3 linked regions of the Struthio camelus genome follow. The protein of the gene in region 3 interacts with the protein of the main gene of each other region in a pairwise test. Links are inferred from orthologs where the notes say so. Each region holds a gene or a part of one and is shown on either strand. Other genes may lie near its edges.

What was found.
Region 1: the proteins of WWP1 (region 3) and SMAD3 interact in binary tests that used the Homo sapiens proteins (3 or more experiments, as listed by UniProt). The two-hybrid records come from large-scale screens. The link is inferred for Struthio camelus from reciprocal best matches to the Homo sapiens genes WWP1 and SMAD3.
Region 2: the proteins of WWP1 (region 3) and ATN1 interact in a two-hybrid assay, tested with the Homo sapiens proteins (2 studies listed by BioGRID and IntAct). The link is inferred for Struthio camelus from reciprocal best matches to the Homo sapiens genes WWP1 and ATN1.

The regions. Positions count from the first base shown.
Region 1 is NC_090953.1:2,691,802-2,699,484, reverse strand, and holds the start of SMAD3 (mothers against decapentaplegic homolog 3), read left to right. Parts: upstream 1-4,430; 5' UTR 4,431-4,728; coding exon 4,729-4,934; intron 4,935-7,683. UniProt on the Homo sapiens protein: Receptor-regulated SMAD (R-SMAD) that is an intracellular signal transducer and transcriptional modulator activated by TGF-beta (transforming growth factor) and activin type 1 receptor kinases.
Region 2 is NC_090942.1:90,570,647-90,578,816, forward strand, and holds the start of ATN1 (atrophin-1), read right to left. Parts: upstream 3,254-8,170; 5' UTR 3,185-3,253; intron 1-3,184. Other genes in the region: ENO2 (gamma-enolase), read right to left, coding at 6,742-6,811, 7,152-7,210, 7,361-7,469, 7,682-7,883, 8,012-8,170. UniProt on the Homo sapiens protein: Transcriptional corepressor. Recruits NR2E1 to repress transcription. Promotes vascular smooth cell (VSMC) migration and orientation. Corepressor of MTG8 transcriptional repression.
Region 3 is NC_090943.1:152,425,421-152,432,819, forward strand, and holds the start of WWP1 (NEDD4-like E3 ubiquitin-protein ligase WWP1), read right to left. Parts: upstream 3,294-7,399; 5' UTR 3,090-3,293; intron 1-3,089. UniProt on the Homo sapiens protein: E3 ubiquitin-protein ligase which accepts ubiquitin from an E2 ubiquitin-conjugating enzyme in the form of a thioester and then directly transfers the ubiquitin to targeted substrates.

The DNA of each region.
Region 1 (7,683 bases), on a different chromosome or scaffold from region 3:
CTGCTGAGCTTCTTGGAACATGCAAGTGAATGAACTTGTATGTATTAAGTCTTAAGAATTTTCAGCAAAGTATCTTTTTATTGGATATGTGTATGCTTTCTCATATGTAGAGAAGAATAACCACTGTAACCTGAAAGGAATTGCCTGAGCTGTGTGTTTCACAGCATTGAAGTTAACTCTGAAGGCATTAACTTAGAATGACCTTGCTTTTTTTTGTGACTCACCCCAAAGGTTATTTTCCTGCAGGTTTGTTCTGAGTGATAAAGATAGGTTTGCTTGCAATAAGTGCTGTTCCACATATATATATATTAACTTAAGCAAGGAAAGCTCCCACACCTTCCCTTGTTTATGCATATTATATGTGATATAGATTGAAAGTTAAATGTCACAGCCCTTATTTACAAGTTAACATGTGAAAATAACCTACTTTTAAACTTTCTCCTCATTTTCTCAGCTGCCTATCTTACTCTTCATTACAGCTGCTACTTACATGATACGGAACAAAAGGAGATGAGGAGGTTATGGCCCTCTTAGCTGCTCTGGTAAATCCCTATCTGTTGCAAATTTTACAGGTTGTCCACCTGCTTCTCAGTTGTCCTCTTCAGTCACACAGTAAAATTCCCTTCCACAAGTAGATAATGCCCATATAGGAAATTATACTTAATATTTCAGTAGCTGAGTAAAAGAGAGATGGCAGTACATTAAAAGCTGGTTCACAACCACTCCCTGATTTTCAAACTAGCCACAATTACATGTTAAAACAGCCCGGGAGCTGTTTCAGCAGGCAACAGGCTCCCCGAAGAACCGTCTCTGAGCATAGCCAGAATACAGTTTGTTCTGGTCACGCTTCCTCCAGCCTGCCTGTTCCAACATGCCCCTGCAAAAGAGGTTTCAGGGAGAGCAGCGTGCGAGCTAGTGGAACTGCCTCGTGCCTGCTTCAAACTCCCTTATTCTCTTCTCACTCCTCGAGTGGTATAAAGTGAATGTGGAGTGAAGCACAGAACCTATCCTTCAATCTCAGAAGCTGTTAAGAGTATTTCTAATAAAGGTAGATACGCGTGTGTGAGAGCCCCAGAGGACACCTTCTTGCTTCTTATGCTCATTTTATATCGTTTCTGAATCAAAACCCAATTTTTGTCGTCTTGAAAGTAAAGTTTAAATTCTGTTCCCATTCACTGATGGGTCCTGTGAATGAACAAGGTATATAAAGATTATTTTTCAATCACTGTCAAGATGTTCACGTAGTAGTAAAAGGTTAAGAAATGCAAGAGAGCCACAAAGCATACGGTTGTTTTCTTCAAGTAATCTCAAATAGATGAACTATGGAGGGCTTGTGTTTTTGCAGATTATACATCTTTACTTTTCAGTACGAGCAAAATGCAATGAGTGAAGTCCCTAAACCTGTACTATGTAACAAACATGCAAAGATAATGATTGTTGCAAAGTAAAGAAAAATTTATATCACTAATGAACACATAACCTTATCCTGCCTAGAGGTGGCTTCCAAGACATCAGACATTTTGTAAACCAGAGAACGGATCCAGACCATGTAAAATTGGGACGGTCCTGTCTTTTTCCTGTCTGTTAATTTTTCCATTATGAGAGTGTCCAAAACTCTCTGAAATAAAGGATTACTGTCTATGGGTTCAGAAAGGCATATTTTCACAGAATGGTTCATTCTGACAGGTAACCCCAGCAGCAGTCATACAAATTGTTCTGTAAATTGTAATGACCTTGAGCTTGGAAATTAATTCTACGTCTTGAGACCAAATGTTTATTCATTTTCAGTTCTAGTGTTCTCAGTGGTGCTGCGGCCCAGAAGGCAGATGGGTGATTTAGCTGGCCTCCTCCTTACTTGTGATACTGTAAGCAAGTGAGACCCATTTTGTTTTAGCATTTGGCTAAACAGGTAAATCTATTTACCCCTTTGCCACTAACTCGCTATATAAGCGCGAGCAAATCTCGCAGCTCTTCCTCCTCTTCCCCTTATTCAAATTTACCCAGCTGATCACCTGTGATATGACTATAGTAATGGAGTGAATTTTAGCCAATGAATGTGTACAGAAAATCCTGGAAGCCTTGCTGAACTAAGATTACAGCATGAATTCTGAGTTTAGAGGTGAGATTTGAGTACTTTCATTTTTCTGGCTGAAAAACAGTATGGAACAGTCCCCATGCTTTTCTAGCATGAACAGTGACAAAGAAATGGATATGGTCCCCAACAGAAATCCGCACTGTTATTACCCTGATGCAGTGTTGACAGCTCTAAGACTGTTTCTTCACGCATAGTCTTGCCCTGGGGCTTCTTTATGTTGCAAAATGTGCTGGGCCAAGAACCAGGAAAATAGAAAAAGATGACTTTAAACTTCCCCACACTTAAAATTATAGTTGTATTTATTTATATACAAAAAAAATGTATTTAACTTCTGTGTTTCACTTTGTTCACATACTCAGGTTATTCTCCAAATATTGTTATTCTCCAAACCATTTGCTATCAGGAACCAGGCCCTTCCAGAAAACAAATATGCAGCAAGTCAATGACACTAAGTAGCAATCAGTAATTTGGGCATTTTGGTTTTAGCATAATTAGTTGCTGAGAATTTTTGTGTTGGTTTTAGAGGTGCTGAGCAACTGTTTCCTCAAATGAAATTGGGATCATCTACAGGGGCTCAGCATCACTGTACTTCAGGCATCTCAATTTAGGCAGCCAAAAACTGGGTCAGGGCAGCGTTCCAAAATTTTAGTGGTGAGCCTCCAAAATTCAAGACACTCGGGGAATGCATGTTGGGGAATAGTAAGAAAATGTTTTAAAAAGAGGGGGGGGGGGGGGAAAGGTTATTTTATTTTGTGCCCAATATTGCTACTTCAAATTTTGGTGTTGTCAGTATGGAATAAAAAGTACTATTTGTTTAAATCGCTGCAAAAGCCAAGCCAGTTGCCTCTGAGCTTCAGACACTGTCTGAACCTATAGGTTCATAACTTGCCGCAAGGCGATTTGTACGGCTGGCTGTTTCAAATCCACAGGCATGGAAAAGCGTTTGGATCGCCGGCTTTCGAGGAGTCTCCCCACTGGGCCGCGCTGGAACTGGGAGCAGGGGAATGCGGATTGGCAAGAACCTGCACGTCTGGGAGCGGGTGAGCAGCCCCGGAGGCTTCCCAACCTCAGGTTCACCGTCAGCTCGTCTGGGAGGCTGCGGAGGCTCGAGGAAGCTGGGAAGCCTGCCTCAGCTTCAAATGTCAAAACTTGGGAGCTGGGGCCTCCCAAAACTTTTTACTCTCTGATTCCCGGACGGCTGTGAAGCAGCTGGGGCTGAGGCGCCTAAAGGAAGGAGGCAGCGGTGACTCTGCAGGTGGCCTCCGAGCCCCTTGCTCCTCGCCGGGCTGCCCGTGCACCCTGCTCACGCCGCGCCAGGGTGGTATATCCAAGGGTTGGAGCGCTTTAGGAACTATGGTTGGTATTTTTATGGTCTTTAGGGCCTTTCGGCGTGAAGGGGAGGATGGTAGAGGTGGGGCAGCGTGAAAGCCCACTTTGTCCAGCGATGACAAGCGAGGAACTGGAAAGTTACCTGGATCCCGTCCTGCCTTAGTCAAGGCTGAACCATCTCTACAAAACAGGGCCATCTGAACAAGCTGCCATTCTCTGACAAAAATGTTCCGTCTGAGACTTTCTGACCAGGGCTGGTAGTAAACAGCTCCGGAGCGTAATTTGTGCCTGATACAGGGCAAAAATTAATCGGGTACCGGGCCCTCGAGGTGGGAGGATGAGGGAATGGAACAGTAAATTAAATAGGTTGAAACAAAAAAACTGCAGATCGTCGTCTCCGCCTGGCTGCTTTGACCAAGCGAGGATCAGCCATCTCCATGTGAAAACACACCTTTTTTCACAGAGAAAAACAGCCGTCGGGGTCCGCCGGGGGCCTTACCCATCCCCGCCGGCCCGAGGGCACTCTGTCCCTTCCCCTGGCCCGGCAGCGCTTTGTCACTCGTGTTTGTTCGTCCCTCCCGCGTGGGGGGAGACGAGGGTCAGGGTTAGGGGGCCGGGTGCGGGGAGGGGAAGCGGCCGCCGCGGGCTGAGGGGAGGCGGCGGCCCTGACGGGAGCTTCCCGCCTCGCCGGGCGCGGGAAGGCCGCGAGCGCGCAGCCGCTGAGGGGGGCGCCGGCGCTGAGGGGGCAGAGCTTCCCCCCCCCCCCCGCGCCTCCGCCCTTCCCGCGCGGGAAGAAAGAGAAGGAAAAGAAGGAAAAGAAAGAGGAGCGCGGCGGCGGGCGCCCCCGGCAGCGCGTGCGGCGCTGCGGCTGCCGCCGGGGGGGGCGGCGGCGGCGGCGGGGAGGGAGAGCGGGAGCGGAGTTGCCGGCCGCCCGCCCGCCCTCCGCCGGCGGCGTGAGGGAGCGTGTTTGGGAGGGAAGGAGGGGGTGGAAGCCGGGCTGGGGCGGCCAGCAGGCAATTTGCATGAAAGGCAGACTGGGAATGAGCTGGAGCGGGCGCCTCCGCGCGCACGCAGAGCGGGGCAGCAGGGGGAGGAGGGAGCCGCCGCCGCCGCCGCCGGGGAAACGCGGCGAACTCCGGGCAAAGTTTGGTGCCGAGGGCCCGAGGCGCTGAGGCAGCGCCGCGCCGCGCCGGGCCGGGCCGGGCCAGGCCTCGTGGTGCCCGCGGGGCGGCGCGGAGCCGCCGGGTTTCGTGTGGAGGCAGCGGCCGGGCCGGGTCGGGTCGGGCCGGGCCGGGCAAGCCAGCATGTCCTCCATCCTGCCGTTCACCCCTCCCATCGTCAAGCGGTTGCTGGGCTGGAAGAAAGGGGAGCAGAACGGGCAGGAGGAGAAATGGTGCGAGAAGGCGGTGAAGAGCCTGGTGAAGAAGCTGAAGAAGACGGGGCAGCTGGACGAGCTGGAGAAGGCGATCACCACGCAGAACATCAACACCAAGTGCATCACCATCCCCAGGTCGGTGGCGGCGGCGGCGGCCCCGGGGCGCGGCCCGGCGGCGGCTCGGGGGCCGTTGGGGAGCGGCTGCCCCCGGCAGGGGAGAAAATGTCTCCAGCCGAGTCTGGAAGAGGGGAAGTGGGGGGAGGAGGGAAAAAAAACCCCAAACCCCAAAGTTGGCAGCGCTCTGGGCTGCCCTCGCGCGTACCCTGGGTGCTCTCGTGGTCAAAAGTTGCAGCGTGTTCTGCGGCAGCGCTGCGCCGAGTTTTGCCTCTGTGTGTGTGTGTGTGTTTGCGCGTGTGTTTTGGTTTTGGTCAGGAAAATGGTTTTATTTGGGTTGCTCGCCTTATTCCTGCGAGCTGGCCAGCTACTGCGCTGCAGATGTGATTTAGAGCCCTGCTGCGCGTTTGTTTTCACATTGCTTTTTAAATCGCGAGAGCAAATGGCATAGCTGAAGGGGATTACTTGCACTGCAAAAAAAAAAAATTATGTAAGGATGGATGTAACAAGTTGATTTTTTTTTTTAATTTTTGTTTTAACATAGATTTTTATTTTTAGCCTTGATCCCGAAATCAATCCATAATATGCATCCTTCCTTATGATATACATAGCATCTAAGAAAAAATGTTCAAGTAACTTTCAAATAGCTGGCCCCAAGCAGTGCTTTTTTTTGCTGCAGGTCTGTCGATTTCTGTGAGCTGAGCCAGATGACTGCTGAGTCTGTTACTTGTCGTTGTTTTGGGGGGGGGGGTGTTTTTAACAAAGGCCAAAGTTCAGCCCAAATATTTGAATCCTGCATAATTGTATGCTTCTGTGTGAGAAGATATCTCTGTGAGTATGTGTATTCATGCCTCTCTCTCGCCCAAACAAATGTATGCTTTCTTGGTTGTCAGAATGATTTAATATGCAGTAGCTAATACAAAGCAGCATCTGTTGCATGAAAAAGTGAAGCAAGTAGCTCAGAAACGTGGATATTTGGAACTCCTAACATTTTTTCCAGCAACTAGAGTTTTAAAGAAAAAGTAAAGCCTCCTCATCTTTTCGGTCCTGAGCGATCATGCCTAAGATTTCTGCCAGTAATCCGGATTGAGGACTCTGCCTTTGTTAGAGTTACTCTGGCTCCTCGTAGTTGAAGCAGAGATCAAAACCTACAAAGCTGCCACCTGGTACAAATGCCCTTAAACCTCTATTTTGAAATTCTTGGTAAGCAGGGTACTTTCCTCATAGAAAATGCCCTGTGTAAACCACTTCCCTGAAATATTTGCCTTTTCATAAGAAAAAATTTACTTGAGGAGTCCTACGGTTGAAGTGACTTGTATATTATTGTGCTTCAGGTTTCCGTGGAGAGTTGCTGATGCTGACCTGTTAGGAAGCAGAGTGTGAGGCTCCCCGACGTTTGCTTTACTAGGAACAAGGTGTTTTAGCTTAAGGAAGGCATTTGGAGCAAAAAGACGGGTGGAGTAGGAAGCTTTAATTTAGAGAAATAATTTTAAAGCTGGAAAATAAGTAACACCACAAGCAGATGTCACAAGTTATAAATATTATCACCTCCAGAGATTACTCTGGCTATTGTCTACTGTGCAGAAGAGAATGCTGGTTTCTCCCAAATTTTGCTCTGTTAAAGGGAAACAGTACAAAAACTAAAACATTTCATGTTCACTTATGACACAGAGTCTGATCCTTCAGGTCTTAATCCTTGGTACTGGGGACCAAGGATTCATATGCTCACTACTGTCAGCATGTTTTGACGGTAGTTCCTTGTGCCTTGGTACTAGTCTTTAAACATGACGCTTCCTATGCACTTTTACTGTTATTTTATATAGATATTGCAGAGATCCTTAAAACAGTAGTTAGGTTACCCTGTGCTGGACCGTCTGCAGCAGCATAGTATTAGGTTAATGTCTAGATATCTGAGATTGGGGAAGGGAGTGGAAATGTGAAACAGCTGGTCTTGAAGCCAATGGCAGAGCTGTAATTGTAACCAGGCCTTGTGACTTTTAAGTGCAATGTCTTCTCCACTGGACTGCGCTGTTTGTCCTAACGCTTCTGTGACTGATTATCATGTCACTTGAAATTAGTGTTTGCAAGACAATTTTAGTATGGCTTTGGTATTTTCTTTTAAAATAATTCTGCATGCGTTGCTGTGTTATTTAGGCAAATTTAAGTACATTGAGGGGACAAAAGGGAAAAACCATCGTTACGGATAAGATCGTGTTGTGCATTGTCTGTAATACATCAGTAGACTAAATTACAGTGGAGCTATGCCAGGGATGACTCTGGCCCAGCAGGAGCAGGGTTAGTACAAAATTAGCCGTTGTACCCATGAGATGAGGCAAGGTTTGAGATGTAAAAGTGCTTAAGCTTTTCAGAAATGTTGCCCTTGGGAATAAGGGCTTCACAGCAGATGAGCTGAAACTTCAAATTCCTCTAGTGACCAAGTAGGGTTAAGTGTGTTACTTTCCGAGTGCTCAGTTTGTAAGATGATGTGACCAACAGACGTTCAGGTCCCAGGTTTTCTGTTTGAAGAACCTATGGCAGCCAGCACGAGGCTGGAGAGACCTTGAAAAATTCCAGCATGATGCCCTAGTGTTGGCAAGAATTTTCTTTCTTGTTGATTCTGGTGGAGCGGGGAGTCGTTTCCACCTGGAAAACCCACCAGTCTCGGGCCACCCTATTGCTGCCTGGGCCTGAGAGAAGGGCTCTTTTAAAGGACCTTCCTTTTTCCTCTTGGGCCCTGCTGTCAAAGTCCATCCATCTCCAAAAGGGAGCT
Region 2 (8,170 bases), on a different chromosome or scaffold from region 3:
TATGAAACACAGTCAGGTGTTCCAGTACAGAGAGACCATAGCTAGACTGGCTGTCAAGCACAGCTAATAAAATGAAGACACCTTTGAAATCAACAGATTGAAGAGCTTGGCTAAATGAAGAGTATTATTAGCTATATTTTTTTCAGGCTGGATAAATGACTCGGGGAGTCTGTGAGTCAGCTAGGAGGCTCAGCTCATACATATCAGGAATGCTCAGGTAGAGTTGATCCTCCCCCCTGGAGCAGAAGGATGGGCCACACAATCCCTTAGGATCTCTCCAGCTGTATTATTCTCTGATTCTACTACACAATAAACATTAACTTGAGAAACAAGAGGCCTCCGCTGTGATATATCCTTTTAACATAAATACAGTACAAGAGAGATACTGATAAACTGGACAGAGTACAGCAGAGGGCCAGTAAGACAGCGGTGGAGGGGTTCTAATTGCTGTTTTCAGCTATTTATTTGGGATTTATAGAGAAGTCAGGGCAAAGCTCTTCTCAGAGGTGCACACTGAAAGGTTACAAAACTTGCAAGAAGGGAAATTCTGACTAGATAAAGGAAAAACCTCCTCCCTGAGGCTGGTTCAACATTGGCAGAGGTGCCTCTCTACCACAGAGAGGCTGGGGAATCTCCACCATTGGGGATGTTCAGGACTAGCTTGGACAAGGCCCTCAGCAACTGATCTAGCTCAGGAGTTAAGCCAGCTCCAAGCAGGGGTTTGGAGTGGAGGCCTCAGGAAGTCCCTTCTCATATAAATCTTTCTATGATGCTGTGATTCTAGAAAGGTAGAGTCCTGCTTTCCTTTTCAACAGTATAGACACACAACACACAGTAGCTGCCTTAATGAAAAGAATAATCAAGCAAGCCATCTAGTCTGTGCTTGGACCTAAGGAAAGACTTTCTCTGAACCCAAACCAAACCAGAACCACACAGAATGGTTCCTCCTAGCTTAATCTCTCAAACCCACCCAAACAATACCTGCAGCCTGGCATTTGTTGGTAAAGGAGACTGAACCACTGAGAAGGCTATAAACCACACCTCCCAGTTTCACCATTCTCTCAGCAAGGGCTGCCCCACGGCTGAGATAGCTGAAGAATCACAAATGAAGCACCCACCTCAGTTTACCATTTAATTGATTTAATCGGGCCTGGGCTACAACTCAAGGAGTTGTTAATGTGAGGTTCATCAATGTGCTATTCTGGTATCCTCCGGAAGTGAGGAGGAGCAGAGATGAGGGAGGCAACCTTTCCTATTACCCCACTTTAGCTCTCCACTAGATGTGCCAGTCTGTCATAGCCACGCAACTGATTTCTCAGGCACAGCAGGATATGCACTGTGCTAGCAGGGACACCCACGATGGATGCAGTTATACCAAAACTATGGCATCGGTGTCGCTTACAGAGGGTGTTTTATCTCCCCCTATACATGGCATAGCTCTTTGCGCTCTCAGACATGCAACGCTCTGGTAAGCTGATCTTTGCCCACAGACTGAGCCTCATGTCCACCTGACAACCTGTCTGTATTTAGTCTTCCAGCAACAAAACCATACGCTTCCCTTCATGAAGGTTGCTCAGCACGTCATAGGAATTACCCAGGACCCAAAATGGTGCACCTCTTGTTAGGTGTTCAGTAGAGGAATGTCTCTGACAGCCTCATAGGTTACAGATGTTGCTTTCCCAAGGATAAGTACAATCCCATCACTCCTGAGAGAGACAAAAAGATCCTTGAAGAAATCAGCAACTCTTTATCATTAAGGCTTCACTGTGTTCTCAACAACAAGCCTAATTCCCAAACAGCTCCCCTTCCAGCTCCTTCACGGGCACAGGCACACGCACCTATTTACAAACAAAAGAACAATTCTGCAGGCTTCGGCAGGGGCTAGTGTTAAATTTTTCCTTTGACAGCTAGCCATTGCTCGGAAAATATCTTCTAAACAGAATTGCATTTGAGAATTTAAACAAAACCAATGTCAAAGACGCTTCGCTTTTAGCAGATATTGTCACATCTCCACCTTATCACTGACTGTGTTGTCCCTCACACTCTGACTGAAAGCACGTTATAACACTGCAGTCTCATAGAGACATCAGCTTATACAACAGGAGTCCTCAGGCGCAGGCATAACAAGGTATTTGGATATTGCTATTACATGGAAACTATAACCTAATCTCTTTCATTGAGGCAAAGAGAGAGACACAAGTGATAGATTTTACCATGCGTTGGCCAAAAACAAATATTTGTAGTGACTCAAGTAAGCATACCAGAGTCGCATATTGCGTCTATGCATCGTGCTATCAATGATGAACTCTTCTGATTTAGAAAAGACACTAAGGTAAGGCACTGCTGTGATGCAATTCATCCTCATCACTTTGGTGCTTTCCAGCATCTTCTCTTACACTGCGATGTGACAACACCTCACTGGCAATAACTCTTCGAAAGAAATTCTTCCCACAATGTAGGCACATATATACTGGTTCCCTACTGTTACAGCCTTGCTGCATTTGAGTGGGTAACGCAGCCTACCTTGTGTTCTGTTTAATTTCCTTCTTTGCACAAAAGAAAAAAAAAAAGACAAATAAAAGAGAGCTGGCGGGAAAAAATGCTCTTGGGAATTGGAAAACTAAGAAACTTTATTTCCAGAAAAGTGTCCTGATCGCTAAGCAACAACCACATTGTTTGCAGAATTCCAGCATTTAAAAGGAAGGAAAACAGTAGTTAGGTATACAAATGGAAAAATGACGTTATCTGTATCTTATGCACATATGCACAGTATAGTTTCCTTCACAAAACAAAGTTTTTAATATAATTTTATTATATATATTTATTTCATATAATGTTATGTAATTTTGCAAACATAACCATGGCAAAACGTTCCACGACTACCAAGTTCAACCCTGCCATCCCCAAAACACACCGCATGCCTTTGCCAGCAGGCACCAGCTGAGCTCTTCCCTGCCACCGTGCCCTCCCCGCCACCGTGCCTTCCCCCGGCTTTTGAGGCGGCCGAGAGCCGGGGCGCGCAGCCGGGGACGCGGAGGCGGGAGCGCAGCGCCGGGCCGCGGGCTCGGGGCGCGCAGCCCCCCGGGGCCTCTCTCGCTGCCGCCCGCTTCGTGCTGGGACACGGGTGCCCTCTAACGGGGAGTCCCCAGTGAAACAGCTCCCGTGACACTCCGACCCTTCCTACCTGCTGGAGGGATCGCATTTTGAGGAAAGCGGAGGGCTCCGGCACAGGAAAATGGAGCTTTTTTCCCACGGAAATGCCTGAACTACAGCTCCCAGAAGGCAGCTGCGGCCCTGCCCGTCCCCAAGCCGTGCCTGGCCCCCAGGCCCAGGGCACCGCCGGGGCCCGCGGCGGGGGCAGCCAGCAGGGTGCGGGTGCCTGGGAGCAGCTGGCTGGGGCTTCTGGTGGGGTGCAGCTGGTGGGGGTCAGCTGGCTGCAGTATGTGGCATGGGGTAGCTGCCTAGGGCAGCTGGCTCCATGGCCTAGGTGGGTAGAAGAGGAGCTCAGAGCCAACTTTATGAGCAGCGCTCGCTAGTGGAGCTCCGTGGATGTGCCATGTCATACATTTCTTAATCTCAGGGCCCTCAGACTGTTTCTGGTGTTGTTGGTACTCTCACCAGAAGTCTGGTGTCCCACCATAACTTGGCCAGCTACAGAATTTTTCTCCTTGGTTTCTTATCTCCAGGGACTACATGGTATTGCCCATAAGTGGGTTCCATGCTCCATTCAGCACCTTTGTGTTCCTGGATTAAACGTCTGTGAATCTGAGGTGTGGAAGTGGGACACAGTGGCGGGACTTCACTTTTAGCTGCAATCTTTAAGTATGGGATAGGTTTCACCCTGCAGCTATGCTGCTTCTCCAAGAGACTGAAGAGGAGACTTCATGGCGATTATGGGCAAGAGATGGCCTTTAGTTAGGACATAAGCTATTAATTGTTATCAAGATTTGTTCCATATTAATTAACGATCCCTTTGGAACCATTCCTGTTTCTACCCTTACATTTCTCTTCCCATCCTCTTTCCTTTTCTGGGCATGTGTATCATGTCCTTTGTCTTCCCTTCTTGAACTTATTCCATCTCATATATTATTCACTAAAGAGTCAGAAGTGAAATGCCAATGTTGATTTTTAAAGCATTTTCTTTCAGTTTTAAGGTCAACATCAGTGCACAGTTAAGAGGGCTTGGGCCTTGCTGATATACCTCCGTCTTCTGACTGACTCCTCCCCTAGGGAGAAATAACCCCATGCACCAGTACAAACTGGGGGCTGACCTGCTGGAAAGCAGCTCCTCAGAGAAGGGAGCTGGGAGTCCTGGTGGACAACAAGTCGACCATGAGCCAGCAATGTGCCCTGGTAGCCAGGAGAGCCAATGGTATGCTGGGCTGCATTAGGCAGAGCGTCGCCAGCCAGGTGGAGGGAGGTGCTCCTCCCCCTCTACTCAGCCCTGGGGAGGCCTCGCCTGGAGTACTGTGTCCAGTTCTGGGCTGCCCAGTACAAGAGAGACATGGCACTACTGGAGAGAGTCCAGCGGAGGGCTACCAAGATGATTAGAGGACTGGAGCATCTCTCCTATGAGGAAAGGCTGAGAGAGCTGGGCCTGTTCAGGCTGGAGAAGAGAAGACTGAGCGGCGAGCTCATCAGTGTGTACAAGTATCTGAAAGGGGGGTGTCAAGAGGATGAGGCCAGACTCTTCTCAGTGGTGCCCAGCGACAGGACAAGAGGCAACGGGCACAAACTGAAACGCAGGAAGTTCCATCTGAACATGTGGAAAAACTTCTTTCTGTGAGGGTGACAGAGCACTGGAACAGGTTGCCCAGAGAGGTTGTTTGAATATCTCCTTCGCTGGAGATATTCAAAAGCTGTCTGGACATGATCCTGTGCAATGTGCTCTAGATGACCCTGCTTGAGCAGGGAGGTTGGACTAGATGATCTCCAGAGGTCCCTTCCGACCTAAACCATTCTGTGCTTCTGTGCTTTTCTCTTTTGCTTGCTCATCCTGAGAGACAAGGTAGTGTGGCTTAGGTGAGGGTCTGGAAGCTTGTTTTGCTGTAACGGAGCAGGAGGTTTGCAGGACCTCAGTGTGCCCGTGTACATGGATGGGCTACTGGCATGAGTAGATGGGGCAGACAAAGTGTTTTCATCATTTTTTATCCATCATACCTTGAGTTGGATTTCTCAAAGTAGCACTTCCCCTCCTTTGCACCTTCATTGGAGTCTGTTCAGAATAATTCTGTTTAAGACGCAGTGAGGTTTACTTCCACTTGGCCTTCTGCAAAACCAGCTGGAGCACAGGATATTTTTCCCAAGTACTGCTGTATTGTCCCCTGTGATCTAAGATGGTATTGAAGGAGGCTGACATCCCATTTACCCCTCCGTTCACTGGTCTACATGCCCTCTCTTTTGCAGGGAGCAGCTTTTTCTCTTACAAATACTTGCAGTTCTAGTACTTAAAAATACTTGACTAGATGTCAAGTGGGCAGCTGTCTGTGGCCTATTCTGAGGTCTGTTACATCAGTGGAGAGCATCATTAAAATCCTTTGCACAACATCCCTGGCATCCCTTCATGCAATGTGATGTAGTGGAGAAGGGTGGGAGGGAATTTACACCTTCCCACTTGCCCTCCTCTCAATATTCCCCAGCTCTTTGTTCTGGAATCGGGCAGTTGACAGACCATTCTAGCTATGTGGCAGGGCTGTGAAAGGAGATGGGGATACCTGGGCCTTCTCTTTCACTTGCCAGTCCCTCTGCTTGTTTTGGCTACCTTTGTATTTGATCTTCTGCTTTGCTTGCAAGATGTCCCCATTTCCCAGACAGCAGTTGTGTAGATAAAAACATTAGGCCAAGCCAGGCAACTCAGGTGTGAAATACATTTTAATTGAGTTTAGGGTTCTGTAGTTTGTCTGTTGCTCAGCTGAGCATGGGTTGTCCAGAAGGTGACGCAGACGTTATGGGTGGAGGACAGGGTGAAGGAGAGCAAGAGAGAAGGAAACAGAGAGAAAAAGGTCAAGAGAAGCAAATGAGAGCATGTGTTTGTTTACGACTGTGTCTTAATATACTCCCCACGCTACTATGCACTGACCCACGATACCCCACAGAGCCGCTTAACCCAGAGACTGACAGCACACATACACCGAGTGACAGAAAGCAGTGCAGTTCAATACTAAGCTGCTGACAAGCACAGCTCAATACAACACAACACGCAGAGTGGAATGAAGAGACGCTTGGGTCCCACGATGGCTCAGCGCAAACGTGCCTGGGGCAAAATGACACTGTAGGCCAGTACACACACGCCTATACACATGCACGAGAGCCGCTGGCAACACTCGTCCAAACACAGCTACGGATGCAACACTTGTCCAAACACACCAGCCGACACGCTTATGTTCACCGCACATGTTTCGGCGTACAACGTAAACACACCAGGCGGCAGGCCCCCATAGTCTAATATGTGAACAAAGTGACTCAGACATGGTCCCTGCACAAAAACAGAAGACACAAAATGCCTAGATTCAGAAATGCTCATGATCCCAAAGCAAGGGAGAGAGGGTAGGCCTCACTTTCATCCTTCACCTGGATACACCTAGCCAGACAGACCTGAACTCATGGGGATTTGAGGTGAGAGTGGCAGGCGGCAGAGGAGAGAGAAAGAGAGAGCAAAAAGGGGAGCAGTGGAGAGAAGAGGGCTTCAGAGACTGTGACCTGGGAAAGAGCAGCAGAGTGGCAGTGCCCTCGGAACAATGTTCAAAGAACACTTGGATTGCGAAAGTTATGTCCAGCAAAGCGTGCTTCATCACCAAGCTCTTCCTCAATCCTGCAGAAGAGAGAGACAGCAAACATTAGACCCTTGCTGTGAGGGAGCATCAGAGGCGCTAGAGCACCTGAGATGCAGAGCATCAGCCACAAATCTGAAATGGAATAGAGGAGCTCTGCTCCTCCCAGCTGCTATGCATGAGGCTGCTGCACCGTTATGCCAAGGAGTAGGGAAGGGGTCTGCTCCAGAGATGTCCCCAGGATCCTATTCTTGGTCTGAGCCCTGTTTTCATAATATTTTCCCCACAAACCCCTTCTACCCTTGGGCTCTCAACTTCTCCCACCCCCGTTAGTTGCTTCTCCATTCTTTCTTATGTGTTCCCAACCTTGGAGCCCCTTACCTCATGAGCTGGTTGTATTTCGCCAGGCGTTCAGACCTGCAGGGAGCGCCCGTCTTTATCTGTAAAGTATTCCACACAACGAACACTGTAAGACACTGTGATGACTTGCACCAGTTTCCCCATAGGGGATAGGAGGCGGGGGGGGTCTGTCTTCACAACCTTCTTATTGTCCTCCACAAAATGTTATCTATAGCCTGTGTTTCACCTACCTGCCCAGTGCACAGTCCCACAACCAGATCAGCAATGAAGGTGTCTTCAGTCTCCCCTGATCGGTGGCTCACCATCACACCCCAACCATTCTCCTGGGCCAACTTACATCTGCAAGGAGCAAGAAATGCCATCAGTAGCTCCTTCTGTAGCCACCACCTGCACAGGGTGAGATCCAGGCATCCTCTCCTCCCACCCTCAGCATCCTACACTCTTGTGGACACAAAGGTGATTTTGTCCAATGGATCGTGCTAGACCCTGATGTGGTTCCACACCAACCCTTTCCCTCTCTTAGGACAGCAGAGACAGCAGGATGGACTCACGCTTGAATAGCCTCTGTGACAGATCCAATCTGGTTGACTTTGAGCAGGAGGCAGTTGCAGGCCTTCTCTTCCACAGCTCGCTCAATGCGCTTGGGATTTGTCACTGTCAAGTCATCTCCCACTATCTGAATCCCCACATTGGCTGTGAACTTGGACCAAGCCTCCCAGTCATCTTGGTCAAAGGGATCCTCAATGGAGACCACTGAAGGGACAACAGAAGAAGCCTGAGTCAAAGCTGCTTCCTTCCCCACCCCCAAAACACAGACAGGATGTGTCTGTTATGTTTGCAACACCAGTGCTGATTCCCCACTGCCAAGCACAGCAGCTCACCTGGATAATCACGTACAAAGCTTTGGTAGAGGTCACCCAGCTCATCTGCAGAAATGTAGCGGCTTGGGTCATCTGGGGACTTGAAGTCCAAGTCATATTTGCCATCACGGTAGAACTCAGAGGCTGCCACATCCATGCCGATGACGATCTTGTCTGTGT
Region 3 (7,399 bases):
CATAAGGACAGCAAAAACAAAAAGATTCTGATTAATCTGATGCTGCTGTAGACACGAGATAAAAAAAAAAATCTCAGTTTTCAAACTTTCATCCTGGAAGACATACTGGAGCAGCTCATCCACTAACTTAGATTCTTATGTGATAGACGTAAAGCTAGAAATCCATTTTTTTAACTGAGGTGAACGTTACACTGCAGAAGCAGATGAGTACTAACCTAGCTTAAAGGATATTGTGTTACCAGTAACTTTCACCCCTCCTCTTCTGCCCTTTTGAGGAAGCAGAGTTTTTTTAAACCAAGTTAAAAGAAACTTCCATTCATTACTTAAGGAGGGCTTACAAGAGACATTTCTTAAAGTTCGCACTTGTCTATCCCTCCATCCATTCCCCCTCCAAGTCTTCTTGCTTCTTTATCTGGATTCTAGTCAAATAAACTCTAGAATGAGCTTCTGTTTCAGCAAAAAAGCTAACCACGACAGTTTGGCCTAATGGCATAAATAGTAACCATTTTTAACTAATAAGTATGGCCTAGTTCATGAATTTTTGATTAAAGTATCTGAGTTTTGAAATGCAGGGTTTTATTGGCATAGAAATTTGGGGAAAAAAATGAATAAACTGAACACAATACCAGCTTCCCATCACAGATGATGTTTTTTGGACACAGAATAGTAGAAGGGAAAGAAGAATCTCTTTCCCACACACACATTCTTTTCAAGAGTAAAAGCAGAAGAGTGACTGGGTAGAAATTCCAACTTATAATATGTGTATGGAAAAGAAAGAAGGACACAAAAAAAAAGAAAAAGCAACAGAATTGGCAGGCACTCCTCCATCTTCCAAGGGTTCCACAGAATCAGGAGAGGGGATTGGCTCTGAGGCCTGTGGGTCTTCCCACAATTTAAGAAGCGCTTGAAGACAGGTAGTTATTTTAACTTTATTGCCAACCCTTTAAAAAAAGGCACAAAGTTCACTTACAACCTTTTGTTCATTGATATTTAGCAACAAATGTAAATTAATTTCACCCAAAAAAATAGTTTATATCCTTTAGGTAACAAGGTGTCCCATGCTGACAGATCTCACCCTTGAGTATTTAAAACTGCTTGCATGATTTCAAGTAAAATTATGTATTTAAGGGAACTAATCTATAGTATCATTGGAAAAAGACTACTGATAGGAAGATCTACTAACAAGAAGCATTTACAGGATCAGATATTTAAACGAACACTTAAAACGGGGCCCAAAGAAGTAACAGAAGGATTCTGAAAACACAGATTGGTTTATAACCAACATTAGTTCAAAATATTTCTAGCTGTCCTATTTTAAAGCACCTTTGACAGCTTTCCAGATAAACTGCTTTTACAAGCTGTAAAATCCTTCTTAAAAGAATGAAAATCCCTAAGATTTTTTCTACGCAAATTTCTTAAATCTTCACTATTAAAAATCAATGAGAAATAATAATTCAGTTCATATGTCCATTTACACAGACTCAGATAAGACAGCACATAAAATTTTAAAAAAGCCCAAGTGACAAGTTGCCACAGATCATCACTAAGCAGTTTATTCCTATGTAACAAAGGGATTAAAGCAAAACATAAATTTTAAGCAGAGATTGTTATTATTACTATGAAGGCTATAAATATATATATATATATATATATATGCATGTATCTCATACATGTGAGGGACAGCCATATTTAACCCAACTGCCTGCATCCAGTGAGAGTATCATTTAGCAAGCCAGTGTTACTAAACTTGCATAACTTGAGTTTTTTAATGCAAAATATCCTGATGATTTTCTATTGGACGCAGGAACTATATGAAAATATAGCTGAAATATGAAGAGATCCTTTTTCAGAGTTTAATTCAAACATTGAAGGGCTCCATTAAAATTATTAGACAGGGTTAACTCCTTTTCTCTCTTTGACATACAGTTTAAACATTTATAGACCTGGAAGCAGAGTGAGATTACCACAGTTTAACTTGGAAGAGAACTGGTATTGTTCCAAAAATAAGACACATACTGAAAAATCAGGTAAATGAACACTTATGCTAAGTTGTAGGATCTTGTCATAATATAAACAAAGATCAATGACATGAATAAGTGTTTCAACATCTCAAATTCACACGGTCTTTTCAGCAAATCTTGCATTAAGAGAATCAGAGAGACTCGCAGACTTCAGCAGTAACAGTGATGACTTCCAACCCAGCCTGTGTCCCCTCCTGCCCCCTACACATCCTGTGAGGGATGATGATGATAGGCTGTGGGGTTACAGCAGCTCACTACAGAGGGGAGACTGCTCTTCACCTCCTCCCTCCGCTGTTTCACCAAAGAAAGGTGAACCCGAAACGCAACAATATCTTTCTCCTTTGCCTTCAGCTGGCACAGAATCAAGCAGGGTCGACCCCGCAACTGGTTCACTGCCTCCCAGATACTAACACCTCTCGCAACCCACTTGGCGTTGACACGGGTCAGGACTCAGCCCTCAGTCGCCCTCTCTCAAAAGGCCATAGACAGGAATAAACAAGGTTATTCGCCTGACATCGGATACCAGCCACACTCCCCGCTCCTTTCCCCCCCGCCCTGTACCTCCACAAGCCCACGAAAGTACCGACCCTGCTTCCCGGGCCAGGTGTGGGCCAAGAGGCCCTCCGCCCTGTCCAGACATGAGCCGGAGGGGAGGGGGGGGACACGGCAGTCCTCCCGCCACCAAACGGGGAGACTGAGGGAGGGAGGGGGAGAAGCAGCCGTCGCCACCCCCTCCTCCAGCCCCAGCAAGGCCCAGGGTGTGCGACGAGCTGAAGTGCCGGAAAGGAGAGAGAGACCAAGACCTCGCTACAGCTCCCTTCGCCATTTTAGCCCCCACGCCCATTCCCCTCCTCCCCGCCCCTCCGTGACAGGGGCAGCGGGTACCCGTCCAGAGCTCAACCCCCCACCCCCCGCCCTGGCCGCCCCCGCTCCCCCCCAGCCCCACCGCGGCCGCCGCAAAGAAGACAGAGAAAAACTGCAGCCGTTTTTCTCCTCAGGCCGGCCGGGCTCTGTCAGGCCAGATCGCAGAGCGAAACGGCTGCGGCGCAGCCTGTTTTGTTTCCTTACCGTGGTTCGCAGCTTCAGAGCTGCTGCCGCTGCCGCTGCCACCTCCTCCTTCTTCTTCTTCTCCTCCTCCTCCTCCTCGCCGCCGCGGCTCCTCACCCCTCCGCGCCACGCTCCGCCGCCGCCGCGCAGAGTGATGCCATCTCACAGCGGCATCGGCGGCTCGCGCACAACAACCCCCCTCCCGCCGCGGCTGCTCCCGCCGCCGCCGCGCGCCCCCAACGGCCGCGCCAGCCTCGTGCGCGCGCCCCGGGCAGCGGCAGCAGGAACTTGTGGAGCCGCCGCTGCCGCCCGGGCGAAAGGGCCCCGTCGGAACCAAGTCGTGCGCAGCGGCAGGCAGGCAGGGAGAAGGCGAGTCTAAAGCGAGGCCCTTCGGGAGGGAGAGGGCTTATTCCTAGCGCCTGCCCCGGGCTGAACCAACTTGGGTGCTGCGACGGGGAGAAGAGCCGAGCGAGCTGAATCAAGCCCTGCGTAAACAGGGGAGGAGCGGCCCCGGCCCCCAGCACCAGGGCCCCGTTCCCGGGGGAGAGCGTGCACGGGCAGGATAAGGGAGGCTTCTGTGAGTCACTGCCCCCCGAGAAAGCCGCTCTGCGCTGAGAGCCAGCACACCCCGGCGGCGAGTAAGTGATAAGGGAGGGCTGCCTGCTCCAGCCGCCTCCCTCCCGGGCTGCGCGCACAAGGAGGGCCGCCGCTACTGCTGCTGCTGCAGCCGCCCCCGGCCGTCACACCCTCCCCGCCCGGTCGGGAGCAACCAGGATCCGCCTGGTTGGTCTCTCTCCCTTTGCATAACTTCTACTTTTCCTATACTTAGGATAGAGGAGGAGGGGGGGAGGGAGGTCGGTTCCTCCCCGCCCTGAGGGGGGCTGGAGGGACCGGTGGAGCAGCAGCAGCAGCCCACGACGGCCGTTGGGCAGCTGGCAGGCGGGGCCGGCGCGCGGGGGCCGTTAGGGCCGTTAGGGCCCTGGGGAGGGGGAGGGGTGGTTACCTGCCGCCGCCGCGGCGCTGGCGAGGACTCCGCTAGAAAAGGCCCGGGCGGGCAGGCGGGCGCTCCCCGCAGGCTGGCAGCCGTGCGAAGGCGTGAGGCGCGTGTCTTAACGTCGGAGGCCGAGGAAGCTTTAGCTCCATACGGGACGGTATGTGGAGGCAGTGATAACGTGGACTTTCGGGTATGAGCAAAGCCTGGGAGCGGTAGCGTCGGAAAAGTCTAGCACCACCGTTAATTGGAAGGAAGAAAAGCAAACGCCAGGAGACCTTGCAGGAATTTCTAACAAAGTCTGGTATTTTGTTGCTTTTTAAGAGACGAATGCCCAACAGCCTCATCTGGGCATGTATGTTCCTTCACAATACATAAGCGAGTATCTTAAAAATAATACTTTCCAACCTATTCGTTCTTTATACAAAATCAATAGGAATACCACAAAGTCTAGGGGGTGGAAACAAAAGGTTGTGGTCTGTTCAATTTTAGGAAACATCTTAGACTAGACTTTTATAAAAGTCTAGTCTAGATCTTCTGTCAGAATTCATCATGGGCAGTAAGATTAGCTGTTTTCAGTTAACAGTGTGATTAATCCATTTGATATGAAGAATTCAAGAAATATAGTTTTCTCTACATCAGCTAAAACTTTTAAAGAAGATTACAATCCTACTTGTGTCCTGAGTTTGCCCCAAATTAACTACTGACTTAAATTAGGAAACCAATATTGCTACCCTTTGGTGACGCTTTGAGATTCAGCTAGTAATCTCCAACAATTTTTCCTTCCTGTTTTAATTTGTTGTAATGTAAAACAATCTAACAGAAATATGCAGAAAAACATCTGCACTTTAAGTAAGGACACTTCTTAATGGGGAAATAAGTTTATATTTAGGAACTTACCGTTGAATGCAACATTGCATTCCCAGCAGCCAATGGCAGGTGAAGGTGTAAACGGTAAATATGCAGCAGCTCCACTGTGGTTTACAGTAAAAAAAAAAAAAAAAAAAAAAAAGTTTGTAATGACACAGAGGATAGTGATTATTGCAAGTTTCTTAAGATGGATCAACTCTTTTCTCAGTCTTCTGTAATGTAAAGAAAGGCTGAAGAGAGGAGGAATTTGTTTTAATAGTATTCTGTGATTCTTGCTTTTTCTGATTCTGCTCTGCACATAAGCTGTTAATAGTTCTACTGAGGTTCTCCTCTTTCTAGGCTTTGTTTGTTGCTAATATAAGTAGCCTGATATGAATACTTGAAAAATATGAACATTATTATTTTTTGAGTAGATTATATATGTAAAATTGCTAGGTGCTTTTTTTTTTTTTTGCTGTACAAAACAATATTTTATGCAGAAGTTAGGCTTCTCTGGTTTGCCTCTTCCCTGTTTCAAAACAAGCTTTGTCATACATTTGTCTCACCCTGGGGTATAGTGACATCCTAAGTATTAGTCCCTCTTAAAAGACATTTGATACACTTATAAAAGCAAAATGTCCCAAATTTATTAATATCATAAGTTTACTTTTAAATATCTCATAAAACCTCAAGATTCTTTCATCTTTCAACTAGGTTTAGGGCAATAGGTAAAAAGTAGTAGTATATATGTAAGGATTGGAAACCATACATTGAAAACTAACTGAAAACATTTAAGTTATACTTTGTTAAGAATCTGAAAAAGTACAAACACAACTTTCTTCATTTTGCAGACAACCTTTGTTTCTTCTACTGCGCAGTGATCAGTAAAGACTACTGGTTCTGTTATACAGTGCTGAAGGCTAGGAGGAATGAACTTAAATTACTAGTTATCTCATTAAGCATGTAGACAACCATAGCCTGTTTCAGATGTGTTGTGTGAAACTCATGTTACAAGAAATATGTTTGTTTGTCTGTTTTTCTAGTTGCAGGTTCAGTTGAGGCAGTGCTTCAAAGCTTTACTGTTATTTAGGCGGCTGAAATCTACTGCTGACCTCAGATAAGGTCTCAGAAGTCACTACATATGTCAACCAAAGTTTGAACTTCACAGAAGTGGTTGCATGAGGTTTTACCTGAAATACAATATAAAAGCAGTTTCTGTATGCAGTATTCTTGAGGTAGTCATTTACAAGTTTACTGAATAGTTTTAAAAAAGTCTCCTAGGGTATCTTTCTGAGTTTTCTCCCCTGCCTTTTTCCCTGCAAAGTAAGGACAATTTTGGAGAACTCAGAATCAAAACTGAAATCTACAAAATATGCTGGAGTATGTAATACTTAGTATAAAACTTAGATATTTATAGATCTTTTTGTCTGGAGTGGTTGAACAATGTACATTTGGCAAGCATGAATTTCAGGATGGGGTTTTGGAAAAGGTAGGCTGTAGCAGACTGGTGTGTCTACTGGTTGGCGTTGTATCTTGCTTTTCAGAGAACATTGTTGTTCCTCCACACAGAGGATTAGTAGTGAGCGTTGCTAGCCTTTAACTAGAAGGCCAGTGACAATAGTTTTGTTCAAACTATACTTGTGGAGAAATCTTCTAGAACTTGATAGGGATGAAAGCTGTAAAATTCTAAATGAATGTCTTTACTAGCACATAAAATTAATATATAATAATATCCATTTAGGCTTCTGCTCTTTTTTAATTTCTTAGGCATCTTACCAAAGTCCTTTGTTAACCTATAATCTCCTGATAGTAGAGGATGAGGGTGAAACCAAATCTTTCTATCTTTAGTAGACTGAAATACAGGCTGATTTCACCTGAGCACAGGCATGCAGAACTCATCTTTTCATCTTTCTATATGTGTGGTTTGGGTGTTTGAACTGAGCAGAAGGTTATAATGAAGTCTTAAACGCGAATGGTTAAGTTAGTTCCTTGTGCAGCCCTATCTTCCAGCTGTGGAAAATCCAAAAAGCTCTATTTAATGAGAATAGAGGGAAGATTTCTCTGGCAATTGTTGATGTGTTTTATATGGAGACTTTATTTTACAAAACTCATACAGAATAAAAGAGAACCTTCAAATAAGTTTATTTGGACCATATCCAGAAAAGCACTTAAGCACCTGAAATGGGATTTAGATAGAACTTAAAGTTCTACCTTCAAGAGCACAAACCACAGAACCTTGTACCTGTAGTGGCCCAAGTCTTTCGATGGTTGTAGCTGGCATCTGTAAGCATGTACAGTAAGTAGTTAATGTCTTGGTTGCACCAAAAGAGCTGATGCTTGACTTATGCCTGTATTTGTTTAGGATCCAGAAAGTAGGTCAGGCATCATCTAAAATCCCTCGCGGACTGGATCTAGGAAGCATGGTTAGAGCATGCACACAAAGAATCTGAATTTAACCAAAAGATTCTATAGTTGTGATAAAGACAGAAGC